Linked DNA regions of Drosophila melanogaster. The protein of the gene in region 1 interacts with the protein of each later gene in a pairwise test. Each region holds a gene or a part of one and is shown on either strand. Other genes may lie near its edges.

Region 1 (4,155 bases):
TGTTCGCATGCAAAATCCCAAATGAAGTTAGGGCCGGGAAAAGTCGACGGGGGAAATGCCGTTAGTTTGTCCGGGGCTGTCTGAGGTGGGGTTAGGATGGTGATGTGGATTGTAATGGCCTGGTCCACTGCATACGCTCGCATGTCGTTGTTGTCAAGCACTTGCCAACGCTTTCACTTTCCTCCCGACCTCTCGTCGTTGGCCCTTTCATCGTTGTCAGCGTTGTGTGGGTGGAAAATATAAGCCGAAAATGTTATACCATGGTACATTGACCTGCCCTGAAGGGGCCATTGTAGAATAGTAAATAGTCCATATATATGTATGTGGCCCAAGGCCGAAATCTGCAAGAGAAAGATCAATAAACAAGTCGTATGAGTTATTTTAAATTAGTTGCTCTTTTTAGCTTTAAAAATGTTTTATAAATTTGCAGAGAAAATAGAATCTAATCCTAATACTGACATCCGCTACTTGATTTTCAATTTCCGAAAGGTATTCACTTTTTACCAACTCAATAATCCAATCATGAGGAGCAGGCGAGCTAACGACTTGATTGGCAACTCAAGGGTTATACTCCTTCGACTGCAAGCGTATCTATTGCATTGAGCTGCAGCTGCCAGATAACTGACATTCTCCCCGATCGCCTGCTGCCTTGGCATTTGCATGTCTTTAGCGGGGATCAAGGATAAGCGTAGCCAGCTGATTGAGATTGAGTCATAGCCGGAACAATGCCGTCCAACCGTCAACCATCAAGCATCAACCGTCTGTGAAAGTGATTGTGATCGAGGCCGCAGATGCGGCAGTAAACACATCTCGGGATCGCCTTTCTACTCCAGTGTATCCTTGTATCCTTTGCTTTGCGTGTCACTCAAGCGATCAGCAAAACAACAACAAACAATGCAGGCAGGGGAAAGGAGTAAGCATCCTTTGTGGCTGTTTTGTTAGCTTTGATCGGAGCTACTTAGCATTTTCCTTGCAGGCTTTGTAGTCCCCTTGGAATTCCGCATGCCTCGCTGAGTTTTCCGCCCTGATCGAACGGAATAATACTGCTTAGATTTATAAAATGTTAAATATTTATGCATGCCATCGCATTCGGTAAGTCACCGTAATTATCTCTTCCGCGAATCTTAATCTTAGGATAATTGTTATATATATACGGTGTATATAAATATTTCCAGTTCTTAAATCAGATTTACAGGCTATGTATTATTTTGGCTATTAGTAATTTTTAGTAGTATTAGTATTGTTTATGTTTTTAGGGATGTCTTCGTACCCAATCAGGGTGTGCCATAAATATTTTGTCAAAATTTTAAGTGGTTGCCCTCTAAGTGCTCCCAATGTTAGGAGGCAGTTTAAGAAATGACTGGGTCATCTATCCACCAGCCCTCCAGCTTCTCAACTTTCCTTTGCCACAGCAGCAAGAGCAGGCTCCTGGAACTTTGGTTCGATACGAGCATCCTTCGATACACCAGCTTCGCTTAGCACCCCGTAGATTAAGGGCACGACGTTCGGTTGTGGAAGGCGAAGGCTCCAGAGGACTGGACAACGGAAATGGCGACTCGTCGAAAATAATATTTGTGCGGCGCTGCTACATGATGGCTGGATTGTTTTCGACTACAACTGCGATCCTTGCCATAATCCTGTCCAAGGTAATTCCTCCGGAGGCAGATCTTATAATGGCAGGATTCATAAGTGCAATGGTGTCCCTAATGTTTCTCTTTGTCTTCTGTATTTTGACCAAGTTGCGGAGTTTTTATTGGTATAGTTTCATCATGGCCGGGTTGTTTGTAAGTCTGGCAGGTTTGGGCGTTATTCTGCTTCTCCTGGAGCGGAACCTTTCCCGCGTGTGCATTGCCCTTCTGGTGGCCTCCGCCATGACTGTGATATGCTATTTCGCTGGCGCATGGATACCCAAGATCATCCTCCCCGGAGAGAGGACCATGTTCCTCCTGCTCGTCATTTTCGTGATGTCCTCAATCTTTGTGATGACCATGTATATCTTCACAGACAATTGGATCTACCAGTTGGTGTACTTCACGTTATTGGCCACTTTGCTAATACCCGCATCCGTTTACCATGCTCAGGTGGTTCATTCCAGGCGATTCCAGCTGCCCGATTACGAATTCGTTATTTGCGCCGTCAACATCTATCTGCACTTTCTGTTGTTCTTTGCGGCCTTTTACTTTGTCATCTGGGCTCCCAAATGGTGAGAGTTATAGGAGTTAATTTAACGTGTCCGTGTAAAATAAAAAGAAGGCTTTAATGAGAAAAGATACCAATTTGTAAATAAAAGATATAGAAGGTGAGCAGCTTTGCCAGGAGGTAAGTGTCAGGGTGCAGGCCAGACCTAGTCTTAACACTCGGTCCATAAGGATTTTTAACGGGATGGACAACATTTACCACCAGGACAACATCCGGCCGACGATCGAGCAGCTGGACCCAATGACCCAGTTCATCCGCAGCATCTATAACATTGGCCTGATCCTTATCGGAATTACGGTGGGCGCATGGATTCTGCTCATGCTGACCCATATTCACCTGCAGAGGTACCTTCCGTTTCCCTGCTACGTCCTGGCTCTAATAATTTTTCTGGTGATGATATGCATGCATTGTATCCCGAGAATATCCTACTACTCTCCCTGTAAGTGGTTCATGACAGGTCTGGTGGTTGTGTGTACCACCTTGTTTGGCTGCCATTTCATCCACGACTTGAGCCCGCTCATTATCAGTTTCGTGATGATCGGCGTGGCCCTGATCATTATGTTACTCAACTTCTCTGGGGCCATGTGCCCGCAGGAGTTCCTGCCCGGCGGTGTTTGCTCCACGCTGCTGATGATGGCACTGCTGTTGGTCTTGACCATTGTGGGAATCGTCCAGCTCTGCACCGGGAGTGTTGAGCTGCTCGACACCTTCGTCAGCATTCTGTTCCTGATGCTGATCATAGCGATCCCCATTCAGGCGCAGTTCAACCATGGCCGTCTGAACGTCGTGGAAGTGGTTCCCGAAGAGCACCTCATGGTCTGCACCCTGACTTTATACTTGCATTCAATGATGTTCTTCTTCTGCGTGTGCTACTTCATCCTGGTCGACGAGAGAAAGGAGGCCATCAGACAAACATCTGAAGCTCCGAAAATTTCACTCGAAAATGATTTTGATTGAGAGAAATAGCTGTCACTGTGTGATCGAAACTGATTAGCGATCTGGCAAGTTACTATGGTGTTCCAGACCAAAGGATACTGTCATCCAGTCTAATTACTTAGTGCGGTGTAGCCTAGGCGGTACAGAAAATATAAATATATTCTCATTGCAAGGCAATTAGAATAAAGCCAGAGTATTATGAAAAGTCCTAGTCTCAATATAAGAGAAAATGAATCACTTACTTTGCTTTTTTCTTCAAAATTACATTATATTGACCTAAAATAATTGATTAACACATGAATAATCGCAATCGGGGTTGGGGTCGTTATGGCCTTAGAACCGGAAGACCTGGTGGCGAGCCAGTTCCTGCGGAGGGACCGGAGGTCTTAGTCATCAACGAGCGGGAGTTGCGGGCCTTCATCTTCCGGGTGTACCTATCCTCCGTAGTGCTGTGCCTGCTGTCTTCCATTTCGTGGATCATACTGTCGGCACTCGCTGTGAGGGTCTACAAGGCAATTCCAGTGCCGCCGTTCGTTTGGCTGATATTAGCTTTCATCATTCTCTCAGTGCTCGGCTGCATCGCACAGACTCCAGCATTGACCTTGTTATGCTGGGGATTGGTGCTGGGATCCTTGTTCTTTCTCACCCTGTTCGGAGCGTATTATATGCATCTAGTGCGCGTCTGGGTCCTTTTGATTGCCATTTTGGTTGCCGGATCCCTGCTGGCCCTGCTGCATTTGTATGGGGCCAAAAGTCCGGAGGTTCTGCTACCCAACATTATCTGTACTTGCTGCATTTTTCTGCTGCTCACCGTCACCATGATCGTCCTGCTAATACTCTTCCTGATCATCAATGATATGCGGTATCTCCTGGCACTTGCCATAGTGTTCGTCATCCTGATCGCATTCATGGCTCCATTTCAGGCTCGTTTCATTTGTGGAAGGCTGCAGCAGGTGCCTTATGGGGAGACTGCGGATTGCGCCAATGGCATTTACCTACACTTTATTTTTCTACTCTCCT
Region 2 (4,053 bases), on another chromosome or scaffold:
CACTGCGACAGTTTGTGACAAATTTGTTGTTGTTTTTTCTCTTCAACTTGCCTTTCAACTTGCAACACGGGCAAGAAGGAGAACTGTAATTTGGTTTAATTGCCTCACAACATTTGCTAATTAGGTTTTACAGTTGGGGGGAACTCTTATCAGAATTTGCGAATGTTCTCCAAGCGCGGAAAAAGTTTGCATATTTAAGTTGAAGTCAGCGCCCATTCCCCAGATTTCCCCCTTTTAGCCAACACCTGCTGAGCTGCCGTGACTGAAAGTCATTTAAACTGTTTTACTTGCTGATGTTGTTGCTGCTGCTGGCATAATTATTTTCCTACACATTTTTGTGTTTAGATTTTCAAAGACCTCAGGTTGGAGATGGGCAAATAAATTAGCAAGCAGATTTTGCACTTGCTCAGGCGTTCAAGGCAAGACTTTTGACTTCTGCGTCGCGTGGTGCAGTGCCCCGAAGTTGCAACTCTTTTTCGGAATTTTTAATGAGCGTTGTTGATAAGCCAAACGAGGTTATGTTGGTGGGAAAATAAGTTGTGTAGCGGGAATTTACTGGCTTAAATAAGTTAAGCTCACAATTTGATAGGTAATTTCAAACTATCACAGAAGCTAACCTAAATAGTTGGGAATATTAAGTATTTATATTGAAATAAAGGGAATTAGATTAGTACATTGTCGTTATCATCCAACAACTTTGCATTCTTTCTGTATTAATCTTGTTTAAATCACGTTTTTAGATATAAAATCTTATCTTAAATGCTGGAGAATGTGAAAGTAAACAGATTGAAAAAGTTGCATAAGATAAACATTCCAACGATTAGAGAGCAGTAAACTTTTAATCGTACAGTTAAGGTACACTAATTAAATTATAAGAAAAGAAGATGTGGCATTTTAAGGCACTAAGTTTTAAAAAGGAAAGTCTACATTACCCATTTTAGTTATTTAATTAAAAGAGAACAATAGAACCCCTGTTTCGTGCAGTTCAAGCAATTGAACAAATTCGATATGCAAAATTGATCGCCTTATAAGAATTTCCAGCTACGAAGCGATCCAATTCGATTCGATTCGATTCTGTGCGTGGTAAGCGGTTGGGATACATGAGACACACATATGAGACAATATTTACAGTCCAACCAGTGCGAATTGCCATTCCAATCAGAGGTAAACAAAAATCAAAAGCCAATGTGAAAAAAAATGCCAACAAACCTGTACGAGTTGTTCGCTGCCGCTGCGCTGCTGAAGCTCTGCTCCCGCCGACGTCTGCGTCGAGAACTTCGGCTTTAAAGCTCTCAGATGGAGTTTTTGTTGTTGTTCTTGCTGCTGCTGCCTTTTTGCATGTGCAAATCGAAAGAGAGCGAGAGAGAGAGGGAGCTATGGAGCTGTGGAGCCCACCAATACTCGGGCTTTTTGGACAGGTAAGCGAAACACGTCGCAAAGAGCAGATGAATAAGAAGAAGACGCAGTAATGAATGATCGTCGCTTTAACTTTTCGCTTGCATCGGTATGCGTGTGTGCATTTCTGGGAGTTAACTTTTAACACTTTTAGCCTTGGCAAGAGATATATACAATATGCACTTTCCACACTGCTTCTAACTGACTTAGCTTTTCAATAACGCACACTATTTTTTTAAACACGAACACACACACACTTTCAAGGCGCGCCGGCTGCGCAAGCCACTTTTGTTTTAAGTTAGCCCACGTACAAGAGGCGAAACAGCGAAGTTCCGTAGCTCGGATTTTAATGCGGCCAGCGCGGCGATATATCGTCGACTGAGTGAGCAGTTACTTTTCGTACCTTCCCGTCAAGTTCACCTGGCCAAAAGCTTTTAAGCCCGAGCTGAGCGCAGCGCAATTGTGAGAAACGCACTAGTGCGTTGGAAGTTTGGCTATTTTCACAACAGATCTGTCTGGACTTCAAAGCTTGTATCTTTGGACAAATAAAAAACATTCATAACCTGCGCAATTTAATTGCAAAAACTTGTTAGCAACGCAAAATTAAGCTGTACCTAAAAATATATCTATGTAGCTGAGTATATAATTATATTTTAATATGAATATGTACGACAATAAATTTAGTAAGTTGACAACCAAATTACTATTGCCTTTCTATCTGAATTTGATTTGTTAAGATTGATTTATTCCTTGATTCTTCGATTTTCCATATTGGTCATCACTGACGGAACCAGCAATCGAACTGCGCGGAACCAGTTCACCGACAACAGAGTTGCACAACAGTTCAGCAGCGGCAAAGTAAAAATTACATTTTGTTAATTAAACTGCTTTTATAATGCTGCGAGCGGGATGCCAGCTGCTGACGCAGTCCACCCTGCCCACCGGGAAGACGGTCGGAAATAGTTTCGCCCTCGAGTTCGTCCGCTGGCGCAGGAAACCGCGATGGCTGCCGGTGGCCAAGAGCAAGATGTTCCGCGTGCCTGAACGCAAGAAGCAGTCGGAGGAGGAGCGCACGGAGCTCATGAGGCTACACAACCAGTACAAGTGCGTGCACCAGCGCCAGATTCTGTCTCTGGTCAAAGATAATTTGTAATCGGTTTCAAAAGACGTTATACAAAACAATCTACGCCTTGATTTCAGAACGCAGCTTCGCTCAGTGCGTCAGTTTCTAAGGGAGGAAGTCGTCCGCCACGAGGAAACATCCACAGCAGATCACATCGTGCTCACTCCCGAGCAGGAGGAGGCCGAGTTCCAGAAATGCCTGGATGCCAATGCTGCCTGGAACGCTGCCATAGCCAAGGAGCGTGATCAGCGATTGGCCAAGAAGCGTGAGGAAAAGGTGGCCTATATTCAGGAGCGATTGGAGGCACAACAGCTGCGCGAGGAGGAGCGCAAGGAGCAGGCCAACCAGCGGGTGCTGCTCGAGATTGAGCGTTCCAAGAACTATATCACTAGGGAAAACTTGGATGCAGCCATTGAGACAGCGTTGGCCAATCCCGTGGACCACAATTTCGCCATCGATATGGCCGGTAATCTTTACCACGGACGAAGCACCTCTCAGCTCCCGGACGCCACTCCCGAACCCAACCAGCAAGTTTTGAGTAATTAATTAATGCAGTGTCTTAGTTTGTTGTTACATTAAAATGCTTTTTATAGGTTTCTAACCAAAGTTGAAAGTCCGTGTTTTTTTTTATTTTTCTGCACAATAAACAACACACTTAAGTATATTTGATTTGCGCAAAAGAATAGGAATTGGATAACCTAGCTATTGTAAAGCGATTTGCTAGAACTAGAATACTTTTCAAATTTTAAGACCGTATTTGAAATTATAATAATCACTTAATTTGAACATATAATATATCAACAATCCATTAACCTAAAAATTAATCTTGGGTCATTGCATTAAGTATTGATGGCTTAATTTACGTTACATATCCCCAAGTTCCAAGCCCATCTTTCTTGGAGTCTCTTTTATGTTCCATATTCGAGTACAATTGTTAATAACCTTTTGAAAAGCATTTGTATTATAAAAATTTCTATATTTAACTTTTATATACGGCATTTAGAATAGGAATAACTTAAGCTTAGGCGCAGCCTATTTACTATATTACATATCTACCATGGGGAAGTGGGTGCTACGTGCCCGGTACTGGATTCGTTCGCTTGGATGCCGCATCCTGCTGCTGGAAAAGGTGCACCCAATCTGGAGTGGCCTTTAGTTTGGCTTGAATGGGTCCCAAGTTGATCATGTTTCCACTACGTTGCTCGCGATTGGCGGTTACAGACATGAGTTCCTGCAGAAAACCCGGATCGAGACCCATATCCAAGTCAAAGCGTGTGTCCCCCAATTGGAGTTTAACGCGACCGGATTTGTACCTCAGAATCTTGCCGATCTGCCCTTCTTCCAGCTGCCGTAGTACACTGCCCTTGGGTCCGTTTGAGCATTTGTCTGCAGGACTTGCTGGTTCCGATTCACTGGTGGCCTGATGATCTCCTTTAGACGGTTCCGGATCTTCGGAATCGTCGCCCACACATGGCAACACATCTGGCAGTTGCATGAGAAAGATCTGCGCTTCGCTGGAGTCCAGAAAGTTACCA
Region 3 (4,903 bases), on another chromosome or scaffold:
AGGTCGGAGCGATTTATACGCAATCACCGCTATGAGGAGGCCATTAAAGCGCTGGAAACATCCCTAATCTACATGCAGGATGCCCAAAAACGGGTGGCTCTGCCCAAATCCAAGGAAGTTCTGGACACATTGACCCTCGATTTTCAGCGCAAACTGCGTCAAATTGAGATGCGAAAGACGCAGCATGGTCTGAACAAGCTGAAGGATTATGCTCCCTTGAAGGAAACCAGTCCCATGCTGCCCCTGCGACCAGAAGCCGGAGCAAGTGGAGGCGCAGGAGGATCCGCTCAGTCGGTGGCCAAGGCAATCGACAAAACAGTGCAGGACTTCGATGCCAAGTTCACCTCCTCCTTGGTGGCAAAGGCCTCTAGCACACTGGCCCATTCGGAGCCCCATATGGAGACGCTGAAGAAGAGCGATTCTGCCCAGGAGGAGCAGGAACACGATACTTGCGATCAGCGGCTGGCGGGCAGTGGAGACCTGGACCTGCCATCCTTGGCGCCCTTGGAGTTGCCCTCCTTCGATTACAGCCTGTTCACCAGCTCCTCGGCTCCTTCGTTGGCCAGCTATGCCGGCATGGCTGAGAGCTTCCAGAAATAGGCCTGGTTAAGATCCATTTGTAAAACTTCAACTAATTTGAAAGATCTCGTGGTAATGCAGTGCCCGCTGAGTGGTGATTAGGATTTAATTTTAGGCACGTTCTTCATTTCAACGTTTTGTGCAGTTCCCTTTGTGAAGTGTATTTGGGAATTCTCTAAATAAATTAAATTAGGTTAATTCACAATAATAATAATAATAATAATACTTTGTGTATTACAATCTAAGTCGTTTATTTGGCCATCAGACCCTTCAGCAGATCATCCATGTCGGTTTCGGTGTCGACATTCTTGAGCAGAAGCAGCACCTGTGCCTCCATCTCGCAGAGGATATCTGGTTTCTGGTAGGTAATGATCAGCGTGTTGAACTGGTGGTGGACAGAGAGGCTCTCCTGCGCGGGCTTGACCCCACAGCGGTCCAGTTCCGGGACCGGGATGACCTTGTAGTACTTCTTGTTCGAGGTGCGCACGACTATGGCACGCTTCTCGGGATCGGCGGTTACGCTGTATGTGTCCAGGGAGTAGGGCATGTTGCGGATGCGCCACTCAATGTTCTTCTTGGTGATCCGCTTGGTCAGCAGTGGCGCGGTGTTGCTCTCCCGCAGGGTGAAATCTCCGCCGGCCAGGGAGTCCGTTTCCTCGCCAGATCCTGGTGGCTTGTTGCCCGACCAGTTTAACTGACGCGGCTCATCGCCCAGCTCGATTTCCCACTCCGACTCGCCCATGATCTTGTTGCTCTTCGATTTCCAGGCCCGCCGCTGCACGATTCCCGTGTCCATGTTGTACTCCTCGGCCATTTGCCTGCCGTCCGGGAATTTGTAGAGCACCTTGCGGGCGCGGCCACTTATCATGGAGTTCTTCTCCGCCGCCTGCAGGTAGTTTAGCCAGTTCTGGTAGGACATCTCTGGGGATTGATGGGATTACCTAGGCACACGTCTCCGCCGGAGATTCGAATATAACAACTGAACGGGGCAGAAAATTTGATCGATGGCGCAAAGTTGAAAATTTGTTGAGAAGCACATTGCGATGGAAACCTGGCAACCCAGCTGCCAGCTTGTTTACATCGCAAGCCGGGTTACCAAGGCACTTTAAAGCATTACATACAATACCTTATGATCGATTTGTCTTGTAATATTTGGAGGTAATGGTTAATTTTAATGCAAAATACGTACTAATTCTTGCCATTTTTTTTACTTACTAATAAAATGATTTTGAAATTCGAATATTTTCCATGAATTCAGCTTTTTTCTGGCTACCCAATTTACAGTTGATTCCAGCGCGCGAGTTGGCAGCCCCGTGCGTACACAAAAAAACAGAGTTGACGTGGCCGGCGCAGTGACTACATAAAATATACGCATATTTCATCACGGCAGCGATTTAATTATTGCTATTTAAAGTAAGCAGCCAGTCACTCCGGCCGTAGTTTATAAATAGCCACTAGACCGTCCGTCCCGAATCCGTAGACTTAGCAGCTAATTTGGACGCATTTCTGCTTACAGGCGGCAGTCGAAAAAAGCGAAAATCCAAGAAGCGAAAATCGAACGAAAAAGGGAATTAATAAAACATTAAAAATGAGTTTGGTGTGGACTTTGATCGCCGGATTTCTCTATGCGGAAATCGCACTGGTCCTTCTGCTGGTGCTGCCGGTGCTCACTCCTTACCGCTGGAACCGGTTCTTCAAGTCCAAATTCCTATCGATGTTGGGACAACAGGCGCACATATATTTCCTGCTGATCATGGGAATTCTGGTCATTTTCCTCCTGGAGGCCATTCGCGAGATGCGCAAGTACTCCGGCTTGCAGCAGTCTAACGAGGTCCACTTGAACGTGGAGATGCAGCACAGCATGAAGCTGTTCCGTGCCCAGCGGAACTTCTACATCTCTGGATTCGCCATTTTCCTTGCCCTGGTCATCCGGCGACTGGTAAACTTGATCTGCACCCAGGCCAATCTCATGGCCCAGAGCGAGGCTTCCTTCAAGCAGGCACAGAGCGCCACTGCAGCCGCACGTTCCTTGCTGGAGAACAAGAACACCGAGAAGGCCAAGGAAGCCGGCGAGGATACCACTCTCATCGAGGTGAGTCCACGTCCCAAACCCCTGCATCCGATCCCCAGGAATGGCATGTCTAGAGAGCTAACACCTAAGACTTTGGAGTTCAATTGGCTACTACCAGCTGTAAAGATATGGCAATGCATATAGAAGGTGTGGTCAAAATATGGCGAGATAATGTCTTTAGCCGACTAAATCTATAAAATCTATACTTCATTCCACTTTCTGGTACATTTTCTCAATTGGTTTTGAATATAAGATACGAAAAGGCTTTAAATGTAGTCTATTAACGATATAGAACTTTAAATACCAGTATATATCATGATTAAAATCTTAAACGTAAACTTAAATCAGTTTGAAGACCGAGTGAATTTGTCATAGGCTTAGTGCTTTTGTTTTGACCGCAGCTAAACGTTTTGAAACCACACCCAAACACATATGTTGGGCCACGATAAACAGAAGCCACCACTCGAAAGTTTAAACCTCTTGTTAACTCTTTAAACAGCTGTCAAGACTGCGGAGACGTGTGCAAGGACTCACCGCCCGAGTGTCCTAAGTATCCCCACCTAGAGCACCCACCTTATATCCATTCCCAAACACCCAAAACGAACAAAAATCCAATCGAAACTCAAACGAAATCCGAATTTTGCAGCTCAACAAGCTGCGCGAGCGCGTCCAGGAGCTAACCTCCGACTTGAATCGCGAAAAGAAGGACAAGGAGGCGGTTAAGTCGCAGGCGGAGAGCATCAACCGCGAGTACGACCGACTCACCGAGGAGTACAGCAAGCTGCAGAAGAAGATAACCATCGGCGGAGGCGGAAACAAGGATGATTAAACTCACTGGAGCCAAGTCCAACATTTAAATAACGATAAGACTTATAAGCATGGCGGTGGGGCAGCGAAAGCAGGCACATTTAAAAGATTATAACGATTTCAAATCGATAGAAAGCACACACATCTTATTGTTAATCCTCATAGATACAACTACATATACCATTTGATAATGATAATGGGGTATATTGATAATGGTCCCTCAACTCAATGTTCGTTTCGTCCGAAGTTTTGTATTTAATTCGTATGTGTTAAGTTTTGTTTGCCACAGTAACACACCCAAAAAGCGTCGTGGCTATTAAAAGAACAACCAAAAAGTACCCATCCAGTTGTGATCGATTCGATGATTCATCTGTTGGCGCGGATAGTCCACATCATGTCTGATAGTACACGGCAATGACGTCAGACGTCGCAACCTGTTTGCATACTTGGAGCTTAGAAATCGGAGGCGTTACATTATCGGTGTGCGAAAAGGGCATCGAATATGTTTCCTTGATAATTACCCAGAAATGCTAATCAAATTCGCATATTTAGTGATCTATCGTGGTTTTGCAGTGCATACTTTAATCTTAACTTGAACAGAGATCATCCTACATAAATTTGCTGTTCAATAAACTGCATTAAAATGCTTACTCCCACCAGAAGCTTACAGAGAAGCTAGGAGCTTCAGATCTCACATAGTGCCACCATTTGGGTGGCATGTACAAACAGTCACCAGGTTGCAGGAGCAGCTGGTAGAACTTCACCTTGGCTACCAAGGGATATGTTTCAGGATCCAGTTGAGCAGCATCTATTCGCGCTGTATTGGCCAAAAACTCACTGTCGTGGGGATACAGATTGTCTGTGTCTGCAGGAGCAGCTAGGATGATCCTCTTCGAACCGAATACCTGGCACAGCAAGTTGTGCTTGGGATCGTAGTGCATGGGAGATACGGTTCCAGCTGGTCCCAGCCAGGCTTTGATGTCCACAGCTCCTGGGGTATCTTCGTTGCTGATGGTGCAGTAGTCGGGAATGGATATATCCTCTTTGAGGGCTGGTATCTGGGCGAAGAGCTCGTGCTGAGCGAGATACTCGATATTTTGGCCAGCCTTGCTTGGTTCCTTTCCGAATTGTCTGCTCAGGAAGTCGCGGATCTTCACCAGCTGCTGGGACCATTCATCGCTGGCATAGTTGGAACCTATTTCAATGGGCACCGTGCGATTCCCGGCCACTTGGAGAAGGTAATTGAGATCCAGCCATTTGTGCAGTGCAGGCCAATGCTGGATGGTGTTGAGCAGGAGTGTGGGTTGTCCTGCCTCAAAGCACTTTGTCTGGAACTCTTCTAGACTGGGAGCGTCCAGTTGGGGTATATCACAGTTGGAGGTTACTCGGGTTAATGGCTCTAGAGTTGGAAGTGGTGCGGAATTCAGTGCTACTGCTCCATCCTTG

Evidence for each region.
Region 2: the proteins of CG32987 (region 1) and mRpS26 interact in a two-hybrid assay, tested with the Drosophila melanogaster proteins (one large-scale study listed by BioGRID).
Region 3: the proteins of CG32987 (region 1) and CG13887 interact in a two-hybrid assay, tested with the Drosophila melanogaster proteins (one large-scale study listed by BioGRID).

What each region holds. Positions count from the first base shown.
Region 1 is NT_033779.5:8,861,473-8,865,627, forward strand, and holds CG32987 (uncharacterized protein), read left to right. Parts: upstream 1-2,338; 5' UTR 2,339-2,382; coding exon 2,383-3,156; 3' UTR 3,157-3,375; downstream 3,376-4,155. Other genes in the region: CG32986 (uncharacterized protein), read left to right, coding at 1,335-2,207; CG32988 (uncharacterized protein), read left to right, coding at 3,432-4,155.
Region 2 is NT_037436.4:18,104,372-18,108,424, forward strand, and holds mRpS26 (mitochondrial ribosomal protein S26), read left to right. Parts: upstream 1-2,207; 5' UTR 2,208-2,290; coding exon 2,291-2,499; intron 2,500-2,595; coding exon 2,596-3,064; 3' UTR 3,065-3,128; downstream 3,129-4,053. Other genes in the region: Polr3D (RNA polymerase III subunit D), read right to left, coding at 3,591-4,053.
Region 3 is NT_037436.4:835,954-840,856, forward strand, and holds CG13887 (uncharacterized protein), read left to right. Parts: upstream 1-1,907; 5' UTR 1,908-2,167; coding exon 2,168-2,671; intron 2,672-3,149; coding exon of another isoform or gene 3,150-3,200; exon of another isoform or gene 3,201-3,296; coding exon 3,297-3,479; 3' UTR 3,480-3,978; downstream 3,979-4,903. Other genes in the region: CG42554 (uncharacterized protein), read left to right, coding at 1-600; CG13901 (uncharacterized protein), read right to left, coding at 830-1,498; JMJD5 (jumonji domain containing 5), read right to left, coding at 4,105-4,903.